Linked DNA regions of Nothobranchius furzeri. The protein of the gene in region 1 purifies or fractionates together with the protein of each later gene. This does not show direct contact. Links are inferred from orthologs where the notes say so. Each region holds a gene or a part of one and is shown in the gene's direction. Other genes may lie near its edges. The genes, in order: pold3, sprtn and pold1.

Region 1 (4,122 bases):
TGGACGTGAAGCTGCTGTAGCTCCTTAATATTCCTGCTCGGTTTTCGCTAGCTTTAGCATTTTTCCTTTGCGTGTAGCCGCCGCCACGGCTGTGACGGGACCTACGGGCCACCGTAGAGGTGAAGGCCAGACTGTCCGAATTCAGAGCCGCTGACTTCCGATTTTAGCGGTCTTCAAGGACCCGGGCTTGCTAGACCGGCGAGGACCCGTACTCATAAGCATCCTTCCTGTGGATTCGGACACACCCAATGTACAGCTCGACCTAGCTCAACCTAGCTGGGGAAGTGTGACCTTTGGGACACAAAATGAGGCCATTCATATTGCTACATCCGACCTTCTATCAAAACTTATCTGAGAGGGTTACAGAAATGCACGTGTGCAGCAGACTTTCACTCCAGATTTCAACTTCAGCCATGTTATATTGACAACTGAAGTTGTAATCTCATTATGTGCAATATTGTGCAATGCTGCTAAATCCTGTCCATGTGGATTTGTTGCTCAACATCTGTAAAATTGACTGAGATATAAGCATTTATGTGTTTGATAACTGAGACTAGCTATCGCAGCCAAACGTGAGTTGATTACAGATTTACATCCAGTTATTATTTTTGGAGATTTTCATCAAAATGCAGAGAGGGAGTGCGGATGTTGCTGATTATTATTGTTTCTAGCACAGATGAAGGTGAATAATGATGAACTGCTGCTCTCAGAGCTTCATGCTTTTAATTAACCTGTCAAAGAGCTGCTCTTGTGCTTTGAATCTTTACTGTCTCATGTGACTTTTACAGTCATGTCAGTGGATTATGTCTAACAAACAATCTTCTCCTTCACACTTCTAAACTTCTATGCCTAAACAGATAATTAAAATCTCCTTTTGATGCTGCTGACCTCCTGCAGATGCTTCAGAGTTCAACTTCTTTTTATTCAGGATACTTTATCACCACTTGACTGGTCAAATGTTCAGTTTTTAAAGCATTTTGATCATTAGTAACTCTGTATGTTGTTGCTTTTATAAACTTTCTCAAAGAGGCAGGACAATTTAAGTCATCAAACCTTAGGGAAACGTTCTCACAAAGATTTTTGATTGAGACAGAACATAAATACTAATTCATGCACATATCTCTCAGAAAACAAAATCACTCATTTAAAATTAATAAACAAATAAATAAATAAAAGTGACTGATTTCAATTGTCATCTCTCCTCGTAATCGCTGTGAAAAGCTACTATAGCGCACATTGGCCTGTAGAGGGCAACCAGTAAATTTGAATTGCACCGGAACAGTGTCCGAACACGTGACATCTGACAGGAAGTAAATAAACTGGATTCCCGCGCAGTCAAATTACTTTAGCTAACATCGTCGATCGTAACAAATCCTGTTAAAAATGGACGAGCTTTATTTGGAAAATATAGACGAATTTGTCAACGACCACAACAAGATTGTAAGAATCATTTTGACCCGCGATGTGTCCGCTTGTGTTCAGCTTGCTTTGGTAGAACTTATAAAGGTTTAAAGTGGTTGAACGCGAACTAGCTTCGAGGTCGCTAGCAGCAAAATTACGCTGAAAATTCGGACTGTTGATTATCATACTGCTGTCACAACGGTATTCTATATAAAAGGCGATATTTATCACTTGCTGCGATTTTGGACAGTTGTTCAGGGTCATTCGGCTTTCAAACTACATTATAAAGTTCGTTTGAATTAACGATATGTGTTTTAGCTAAAGCTTTACAGCCACCAGTGGTGTTACACTAGGATTCAATAGCAAGAACCAGCTCATCATTACAGATAATATCTTGTATTTTCTTTTTTATTTTCAGGTAACTTATAAATGGCTGAGTCTCACTCTCGGAGTCCATGTCAACACAGCAAAACAGTAAGTTATCCAGTTTCTGCCACAAGTTTAAACATATAAATGAAAAAAATTAGATTTCACAGTTTGAGCCTAAATAATTATTGCATCTACAAGTTCATCACAAATATGTCAGATTCTAGTCTGAACTCCTAGCCGCTGTGGATTTTTTTCTGTAAAACAACTGTAAAAGTGAGCTGTTGTTGCTGATTGCATCTAAAATGTACTTTTAGGATGCTTTATCATTATTTGGAGAACAAGAGGAAGGAAAGCTCACCTGAGCTGCATGCTACCTATCTTGTCTCAGGGAAACTTGTCGACAAAGGTCAAACTGTGAGCAAAGATAACTTTTCTGGCTCTGACTACATATTTTTAAACAGGAGATAAAATGATTGTTACATGATTTATTTGCATTTCAGTGCCACAAGGTGTCAGTTGTCAGAGAAGACCAGCTGGAAGGTCAGTAAATGTTATTTCTCACAGCTTGATGAAGGATTTCCTGTCCTATACTCTTAAGATTTTAATTCATTGGATCAATTAAAAAGGGTGAATTTGTTCAGTTTATTTATTTATTTTTTCGTCCTGCAGACTTTAAATCCAAAATGAACTTGATAGTGAGTGTTCACATCTACAGCGTCCAGAAAGCTTTATTGAAAGACAGCAGCCCTCTCTACAATGTTGACTACGATGCTTTAAAGGACAATCTAAAAAACTGCAGCAGGTATGTTGGGTTTCCTTGCAGCTGTAAACATCTGCTTCTTGGGACTTGTCTCTAAACGGTTCCTTTATTTGATGTGTAGATACAGCGCGATCCAATGCTCCAAAGCTGTGCCGATGTCTCCTGTGGAGCTGCAGCAGGCACGGGAAACTGAGCGAGCTCCTGCATCGGCGCCTGAATCACAAAAATTGGGTGTAAGCAGCGGATCAAGCGTGGCTTCTAAACCATCGGCGAAGACCCAGAAAGGCATTGTGGCAATGTTTGCAAAACAACCTACACCAAAGAATCAGGAGAGCAGCAAACCTGAACAAAGAGAAGAATCACCCATGGTAAGATTTGTTTTTCTCTATCGTTTTCCAGTTAAACTGAAGGGAATGTGACATCTATTGAATTATTTTTATCTATTTGTTTCATTCTAGTTGGAAGTCCCCCCAAACAAACAAGCTTCTAAGACCAACTCAGTGGAAAACTTCTTTGGAAGTAAGTCCACATGACAATTGTAGTGATTCATCCTTTATTTACTCTTTAATATTTATTTCTTTAAATCATTTTAAACTGGTTAATATTAATTTTGTTTTTTAATTAGGGATGTCCCGTTCCAATATTGATATCTGAAGTAATTCGATATCGGCCCAAAATCACTGTATCGGATTAAATCGGACGGGATCAAAAATATCCGATATAGGGTTGTCACGGTAACCGGTATAGCGGTAAACCCCGGTAAAAAAGTTGACAATAAAAATAACCGTCCAGTTTTTAAAAAACTATATTATCTCGGTGGGTTTACCGTGGCCGCGGTTTTGGCGCGCTGACCCTTACCAGCCACCGTCGCTTCAGCTGAAGTTCCCGCGGCGCGCACACGCACTTTTTAGTTTGCAACGGCACCAAAACTTTGAAACTGAAATAATGGCCGAAGGAGGAGACGGCAGCGCCCAGGACATCCATCAGCCCTCAAAGAAGACTAAATCGGAAGTATGGGCATATTTGGGATTTCTGAAAAATGCTGAGGGACAGTTAATAGAAGACGGCTATCCCGTTTGCAGAACGTGCAGGAAACAAGTGTCTGCAAAAGGCAGCAACACTTCGAATCTAATGGCACATCTGCGTGACGATCACCCACGTCTCCACAGCCAGTGCAAGGTAGGTTAACATTAGCATTTTAGCTGAAATGCATGACGTGAGGACTTTTGGTTGAGGGAGAATGCAACGAGTCACTAAATACTGCAGCCGCAGCGTCCTCTGCCAGCATTTAAACCGTGTCACGGACACCCTGCATCTTATTTGTTGATGATGAAGAGAAATATACAATTAGTTCCTTGTCATTGATTTGTTTACTTATTCAATGCCATTTATACTTGAACGTTTGGATTTGATTACATAGTGTAGTAGTTATTTTAGTAATTTGTTTAAAGTGGCTATTTATTTTAAATACATATTTTTTAAAGGTTGACTTGTACAGTGCTCAAGTCAAGTGTGGACTGGAGTTTTAGATTTTCATTTTGATAATGAAGAAAACAAGTAAAAGAGAAAACAAGTGGTGTTTCTTTGATTTG
Region 2 (4,267 bases), on another chromosome or scaffold:
CGCACGGGAGAGGTGGGGACCTCCTCCTCTTTCTTGTGTTTGTCCTGGGAGGCTTTCTTTTTCTTGGTTTCATCCAGGATCTCCAGCCACTCCTTCTTGACTTTGCTGTTTTCCACCTGGAAGATGCGGCTGTCTGGGAACATGAGAATCTTGAACATGTCCTTCATGGGAGGGTTGTCCTTTACGTTGACCACAGCAAAGCTCTCCAGATCATACAGGGCATTGTATTTATACTTCACTGTGCCTCTGCGGTTAGGCAGCCAGGTGGCAATCAACAGGCAGTCATTCATCAGGAAAGCATGAGCCTTCTGGATGGGGGACATGTTGTCCACATCAAACTCCACGAGGTCTCCATTGTAGACCAGGTGTCTCCCTGGGGTGTCCATGATGTTTTTAGCTCCTTCCACCTTCTCCAGCAGTGAGGTGAGAGTCCTCTGCTTCAGGTCCTCTGTCTCTTTGGGGAACGCTGCCTGCATCTCTTTGGAGGTCTCGTCCTTGTCTGTGGACAGTAAGGCCTGAGTGATGCTCTCCATGATGCTCTTCTGCTCGGTGAGGATGTGGCTCAGCTGGTACATCTCGCTCTCCAGGAAGGAGATCTCCTTGGCCGTTTCGATGAACTGTCTGTAGTTCTTGTACACGTTCTTCTTGAGGTTTTGGGCCGTTTCATCAGCCAGAGTTTGAATTTTCTGACGATGCTCCTGAAGGTCTCTGTCGCCATCCGACTGCTGTGACAGCTGCTTGACGTAGTTCTGTGGATCGAAGTTGGGCGATTCCAGCAGCTTCCGAAGTCGGTTCCCGGTTTCCGACATCTTTGGTTGTCTGCGTGTTTCCTTATTAAGCAAAACTGTTAACAAACTGACGAGAAACGCAAACAGAGAACGAGCGCCTTCATATCCACGTCAACAAACACAGGAAGCTGAAAACAGGTCAACACCCCAAAAGGATCTGGCTTCTCCAACACCCGGGTTGTCAACGTCACATGAACGTCACGAGAAGGGAGAACAAAAAGGATGATCAACAAAAACTCAGAACAAAATTGTTATTGATCTTTCAGGTAAACCAAACAATGTTTTATTTTTATTTTAAAGCTTCTGTTTATTTATTTACTCATTTTGCTTTTTGTGTGTTGTTATTTTGCAGTTGTTACTGATTACTGGGCTATTGAACAACACCCGGAATAGGTGTTTTGTTGTCCAACTATTTACCTACCGGAAGTTTACGGTAGCTGCAGAAACATTACAGATTTTCAACAGCGTTTAAACAAGCTAATTTTAGTCATCTGCTGATTAAAATAAGATACAAAACTAAGCGGGGAAAGCCAAATCAAACACGAAATTAAGTTTGAAGTAGTTTTTTATTTAGAAGTTCATACGGAAAGAGACTCGTTGTAATGTAGTACATGTAGCAAACCTGCTGTTTGGCGCGAGCTGTGGACAGACCGACTATTATTACAGATACCTTTGGCTGACAAGAAGATGAGATTCATCTTTCAAAGTCATGACTTCAGTCCTTTTACCGATGTTTCTCTGAAAGGTTGATTTTATAATTAGGCTGCAGACGTCGTTTGTTCCAGAACTTCGTGCTATTTACATTAGCAAGTCAGCTAACAAGCTAGCACAGCTGCCTTCTGATGTCATGGATGCGGATTTCCTGCTTGCCATTAAATTACAGGAGCAGTTCGATAATGAGTACGAGACGTCATTAACCTCATCAAATAGATTCGAGGATAATTACTTCGAACAAAGCAGTAAGAGACGGAAAGTGGAAGCAGCCGGAGGTGGCAGCGCTGCTGTCCCCTCCTGGAAGCCGGGTCACGAGCCTGAGAAACCCCTGAGCATCGTGGATGAGTCCTGGGAGATGCTGGACCCAAACCCAGATGTGAGGGCCATGTTTCTGGAGTTTAATAGCCTGTTCTTCTGGGGGAAACTGAGCGGAGTCGAGGTGAAGTGGAGCCCCAGAATGACACTGTAAGTTTTGTTTGTTCACCAGATTTCCTACAGCAGGGATGTTTATAAACACTGTTGGCTTTACTGGGATTCAAATATGGTAGCCACAAAGCGCGAGATGCTTGGAAAAACATCATTATTGAAGAAAAATAAGGTAAAAGATTAAACAAATGGGTACCACTAAATATCTGACACAAAGTATGTCAAACATAATTTCTAAAAAAGCAAAAAATGTCCAGTTTCATGAAGCTCTATTATGGTTTCCTTGTGCTTCTATGCAATGTTAAGGCCTTCTCTATTGTATAAAATGTGTCCTGTTTCTTGTTTTGATGTCCTCCACTCCAGCGCTGTGTTACAGGAATAACAGAGTTTTGAGAAAATGCCTCCTGTGTGTTTCCGTACCTAGGTGTGCTGGTGTGTGTTCTTACGAAGGCCGAGGCGGACTCTGTTCCATCCGGCTCAGTGAGCCTCTTTTGAAGCTGAGACCCAGAAAAGACCTGGTGGAGGTGGGATGGGTCACTTTACATTAGTGGATCTTAAAGACAGAAAATCCTCATCCAGATTATTGCTAATAATTTGTTAATTTGATTGTTTCCACAGACTCTCCTTCATGAAATGATTCATGCACTGCTGTTTGTGACCCAGAACAACCGAGACCGAGAAGGCCACGGTCCTGAGTTCTGCAAACACATGAACAGGATCAACAAGGCCAGTGGGACGAAAATCACAGTAAGTGTTTCTCCTTCAGCTCTGTGTGGTTTTGGTTGACTTTACGATAACAATCTCCTCTTGTCCCTCGGTCAGATCTACCACAGCTTCCATGATGAGGTCGATGTCTACAGGCAGCACTGGTGGAGGTGCAATGGGCCCTGCCAGAGCCGGAGGCCTTTCTTTGGTTATGTGAAGAGGGCTATCAACCGAGCTCCATCTTCTCTGGACCCTTGGTGGGAGGATCATCAAAGGATGTGTGGCGGGACGTACACCAAGATCAAAGAGCCAGAAGGATACAGGAAAAAAGGCAAAAAAGATGGGAAGAAGGATGCAAACACCTCAGAGAAGACTTTACGTACTGGCAAGCCTTTAAATACAAGTAAAGGTGAAGTTTTTCTATTTTTTTAAGTAGTTTATTCAGGATTTGCCATCAGGACCAAATACAAAAACATTTCTTTCTTTCTTTCTGCTCAGGTTCTGGATCTCAGGATATAAGGAACATCATCCCATTCAGTGGGAAAGGTTTCCTCTTAGGAGCGACGTGCCAGACCTCCACATCTCCCTCAGCACCTCCGTCCAGCGTCGCCTCCACTCCTAAGAAGTCTTCCGTTCCTGACCAAACCAAAACCGTCTCCAGTGGAGCAGCTGCCTCCTCAGGGGGAAAGCCACCTGCAAAGACGTCTGTCGGGAACACAAAAGCTTTTGTAAACATTAACGGCTCACCTGTTAAAATTCCTAAATCTAGGAGCAGCTCTGGGGGTCACGGGGCCGACGCGTTCAAGCAGAGGTCCATTCACGATCTCTTCAATGTCAAAACTCACAGAAAGTCAACAAGCCATCCCTCAGGCTCAGAGACTAAAAGAGCGGCAATGTCTCCAAATTCTTCCTCTGTCGGTGTCGACACACCTGGGGCAGCGAGCCAAGGTCAGGCGCCCAGGGAGAGGCTGTGGGATGACTGCAGCAGCTCGGCCACCATTTTTGATTTTGTTGACAAGACATTAAGCAGCAGTTCAGCATCATCAAGGGAGCAGGAAAAGACCAAATCAGCTGTTACTGCAGCTTCCAGCTCCTCCACATCACTTCAACCCCCTGGAGGGCTGCACACGCCCTCCGCCGCCGCCAACGTGCTGATGGTCAGCTGTCCCGTGTGCCAAACTAAAGTCCAGGAGTCAAAGATAAATGAGCATCTTGATTCCTGCCTGTTCTGAAGGACTTTTAAACTAAATGGTTTTACGAACCAAAGTTTTAGATGTCTGTTTTGTGCTTTAATCTCTAGTTTAACAGATATTTTGTCACTTGACAGTAATATTGAGGTATTTTCTAACTCAAGTGGCTCTCTGACAGCTTGTGCCTCAACTGCATTTACAGAACAGCAGGGTTTTGTTAAAATGTTTTTAAAGCTGGTTTCTACTTGAATAAATAAGTTTATAATGTAGTCAGACCCTCTTTGTCTGAGGTGTAGGAGGTTTGCAGAGGGAGTAGAGTTCTTCTGAAGGTCACTGGGTTTATTTTGGGTTCTGATGTCTGATGCTTCCTCCAGAGGACAGATCTCTGCTGCTAACATTTCACTTCCGTTTGCTTTTTGCTTTGTACACCTTCACTTGGACTCA
Region 3 (3,648 bases), on another chromosome or scaffold:
AAGCAGAATTTCCATAGGATCCCATTTCTTCCAATAAAAACTAGGGGTGCAACGGTACGCTAAACTCGTATTCGGTTCGTTTCAGTGTTTTGAAGGGCTTGGTTCGATTAATTTTCGGTATATTATTATTATAAATGGTAAATGGTAAATGGCCTGTATTTGATATAGCGCCTTCTAGAGTTCTCGAAACCCCCCAAGGCGCTTTACAACACAATCAATCATTCACCCATTCACACACACATTCACACACTGGTGGGAATGAGCTACAATGTAGCCACAGCTGCCCTGGGGCGCACTGACAGAGGCGAGGCTGCCGAGCACTGGCGCCACCGGTCCCTCCGACCACCACCAGCAGGCAACGTGGGTTAAGTGTCTTGCCCAAGGACACAACGACAGCGACAGACTGAGTGGGGCTCGAACCTGCAACCTTCCGATTACGGGACGAGCACTTAACTCCTGTGCCACCGTCGCCCGGTTATTAGATTTATTTAATTATTTAATATCTGAAGTGGCTCCTATAGTGAGCAGAACCAGGGGTCATCACAGGCTGCTAATCTAGCATGATGTATTTAATTACTTCTCAGGTTATTTGCGCCACAGACATATATGCAGGGTATCCGCGTGTCCTTAAAAATTCTTAAATTTGCTTTTCCAAATTTAAGGCCTTAAAAATCCTTTAAAATGACAAATAATCCTTAAATACAGTTTCCAGAGGTCTTAAATGACCAAAGACCCAATAAACAAAATCATTTTGTTTCTATTAAATTTTGTGAATTTCTAGTTAGTGTTCAGCATTTTTGTGTATGATGTTGGCGTAAGCGGAACCGTACACATTCAGTTGCTTGTGAAAGGGGACTATTTTTAGATGAGCACATTAGCTGGTTAAGCTGGTGGTAGCTTGCGCCATGGGGAAGTGCAAGTTTGATGGTAACTGGATGGTTAATCCCACTTTTGCGATGTGGTTAGCACCGGTTCCAGGCAATAGCTAGAAATTATAGCTTAAATTTAATTTCAAAAGTAGCTTAAATTTGGTCAAAGTGGCCTTAAAAAAGGTCTTAAAAAGTCTTAAATTTGGCTCCCTTAAACCTGCAGATACTCTGTACATGCACAGATGCCCCGTCGACAGTCGCTGCCTGTTGGAGATGCCGTATTGGCCAACCGCCATTTTAGATAGATTAGCCCCCAGTGCATTCATTTCTACTGAGGAAGGTGCTTACCCAACTAAAAAACACGTTTTATCAAGCTTTTTCACAAAATAAAACACAAGGTACGGCATGATAAAATTAATTAAAATATAAATATAATTAATTAAAAATAAATATTAAATATAAAATCCTATCAGGTAGGCTAGAAAAGTCACTAGTAATCCCACGTGATCTGTTATCAATAGTACGCTGGTTGTTGTAACCGTAGGCTGCACGGAAAAGGGCATAGTTGCTCACTCTGCATTGACTTTGGAGAGTGAGGAGACCCATCCAACATGGCAGCGACGCTTTTACACACTCCAGCGCCCAACGGGGCGTCTACGTATTCATGTCTATGATTGGCGCAGCTCATTCTCATACAGACGAGTGTTGTGTTTGACATGTTTTTATTTCTTAAACGCTCACCTCACACCGCAGAGTTTCTTCTTTAAAACTCATATTAAATAACGAGCATCCTCCGCACCGTATTTTTCTTTGTAGGATGAAAACTTTACATCAGTTGTCCCAGCGGAAAGGTTCAGCAGACATGTTTGCCACTGTGTGCCTGCACACTGTGAGAGAAGGGAGGGAGAGGCGACACGGTGCTCAGAGTCTCTACACGGACTCCACTGCAGCTGCAACAGTCAACTGGTTTGATCCGCTCCGAAAGACTTTGATCAGAATTTGCAGATCACGTTTTTTAAACGGAGATCGGGCGCGTGCAGCCATCATGCGTCATTCAATACAGCGTCTGAGCGGAAACTCCCCGAGGAACTTTTATCTGCGCTTAATTTGTGCGATTGTGTGAAAAGTTCATTATTTAACGGGAAAAATAAACCGAAACGGTTCACATAACCCCCGTGAACCATTACACCCCTAATAAAAACTATTGGTTCTGATCCTCTGTGTGTGTTGTGGACTAAGCCAGATGTTCCAGGTGTTTTGTCCTTTCTTGGATTCGTCTATCGTCTGTCCACAGGGCCAAGGCAGAGCTGAAGAGTGAAACGGACCCTTTTAAGAAGCAGGTGCTGGATGGTCGACAGCTGGCTCTGAAAATCAGTGCGAACTCCGTCTACGGCTTCACCGGGGCTCAGGTGGGCAAGCTGCCCTGCTTGGAGATCTCACAGGTGAGCACCCGGGGCGTGATGACCACTCAGAGTGGAACAGCTGGACTCCAGGTTCCAGGTTGGGGTTTACCCTTGTTTGAGTTCCCTCTCACACGGTTGTGCGCTGATGGGATGTCGGCGCCTGAGCGGTAAACCACGGGGATGCAGAGTGAAGATGAGCATTTAAATAAAAACCACACCACAGGTGTTTTGTTTTAGCAGGTGGAGACAGAAGTGTAAACAAATGGTGCCAAAGAGCTGTTGTAAATAAATCATCATAGAAAGTTGTATCAGAAGTATTTATACTTTATATAAAAGACGGTGTCCTTCTGGCCTGAGAAAAGTTATCATATCAGCTGTTTTAATCCTATAAACAGGGACATTTAATAAATAATTCCTATTTATGCTAAAGTTTGACTAAACAGACTCAGCGTTTCTTTTGGTTTGAGGTCTTAATAGAAATCTGACCAGCATAATTATGGTTTCTAATAGGGATGCACCGATAGTATCCGTATCGGTGCAGATACCGATACGATACTGGTCTCGGTATCGGTAAAAGTTAACCGATACCAGGAACCGATGCCAATGCAGTTGCTTGAAAATGGCTTCACTGTAACTTGTCATTTCTGTTCACCTAATATTTTAGTTTTGTGATGATTTCCATTCATATATTTTACTTTTTATCTACCTCACAGTCTTTTCCTGTTGAAGGCAGAGAAGAAAATAAAATCTGCATTCCAAATCATTGCATTTTTTTGTGTGTTAGAAGTATAGGTATCGGTAATCGGTATTGGCGAGTATTCAGATCCAAGTATCGTATCGGTTTGGAAAAAAGCGCATCCCTAGTTTCTAACTCAAGAGTCCATGAAAATCATGATGTATTGATCACGCTCAAAGAGGCCGGTGCTTTTGATCCTGGGTGAAACAAATGTAATTTCAACAGTTCAATTCCCAGAATGGTAACAGAATTTGAACCGATGACGTGTATCTCCGTTGTTCAGAGTGTGACTGGTTTTGGAAGACAGATGATTGAGCGGACCAAGCAGCTGGTGGAGTCCAAGTACACCATCTCCAATGGTTGTGACGCTGATGCTAAGGTGAGGAACACGCCTCTGATTCCTGATAAACCAGACTTGTTTGTGTCGTAAACACTGAAATATGTGTGTTTACTAATAATTCCTGTAAGGTCATCTACGGAGACACGGACTCCGTCATGGTCAAGCTTGGAGTTGCTACTGTGAAGGAGGCCATGGATATCGGGAGGGAAGCAGCTGCCTGGGTGTCTTCCCATTTTACACCCCCAATCAAGCTGGAGTTTGAGAAGGTGAGCCTTCAGCAGGACACGTTGGTCTCGTCGT

The links.
Region 2: the proteins of pold3 (region 1) and sprtn purify together in Homo sapiens (affinity purification with mass spectrometry; 3 studies listed by BioGRID, with this or other methods). This does not show direct contact. The link is inferred for Nothobranchius furzeri from reciprocal best matches to the Homo sapiens genes POLD3 and SPRTN.
Region 3: the proteins of pold3 (region 1) and pold1 purify together in Homo sapiens (co-immunoprecipitation; 8 studies listed by BioGRID and IntAct, with this or other methods). This does not show direct contact. The link is inferred for Nothobranchius furzeri from reciprocal best matches to the Homo sapiens genes POLD3 and POLD1.

What each region holds. Positions count from the first base shown.
Region 1 is NC_091751.1:39,612,031-39,616,152, reverse strand, and holds the start of pold3 (DNA polymerase delta subunit 3), read left to right. Parts: upstream 1-1,288; 5' UTR 1,289-1,383; coding exon 1,384-1,440; intron 1,441-1,819; coding exon 1,820-1,875; intron 1,876-2,084; coding exon 2,085-2,184; intron 2,185-2,270; coding exon 2,271-2,310; intron 2,311-2,439; coding exon 2,440-2,572; intron 2,573-2,651; coding exon 2,652-2,898; intron 2,899-2,988; coding exon 2,989-3,049; intron 3,050-4,122. UniProt on the Homo sapiens protein: Accessory component of both the DNA polymerase delta complex and the DNA polymerase zeta complex.
Region 2 is NC_091742.1:10,760,400-10,764,666, reverse strand, and holds sprtn (DNA-dependent metalloprotease SPRTN), read left to right. Parts: upstream 1-1,446; 5' UTR 1,447-1,635; coding exon 1,636-1,967; intron 1,968-2,352; coding exon 2,353-2,452; intron 2,453-2,546; coding exon 2,547-2,675; intron 2,676-2,750; coding exon 2,751-3,042; intron 3,043-3,131; coding exon 3,132-3,865; 3' UTR 3,866-4,085; downstream 4,086-4,267. Other genes in the region: exoc8 (exocyst complex component 8), read right to left, coding at 1-809. UniProt on the Homo sapiens protein: DNA-dependent metalloendopeptidase that mediates the proteolytic cleavage of covalent DNA-protein cross-links (DPCs) during DNA synthesis, thereby playing a key role in maintaining genomic integrity.
Region 3 is NC_091752.1:51,279,737-51,283,384, forward strand, and holds part of pold1 (DNA polymerase delta catalytic subunit), read left to right. Parts: intron 1-2,163; coding exon 2,164-2,311; intron 2,312-3,291; coding exon 3,292-3,387; intron 3,388-3,476; coding exon 3,477-3,614; intron 3,615-3,648. UniProt on the Homo sapiens protein: As the catalytic component of the trimeric (Pol-delta3 complex) and tetrameric DNA polymerase delta complexes (Pol-delta4 complex), plays a crucial role in high fidelity genome replication, including in lagging strand synthesis, and repair.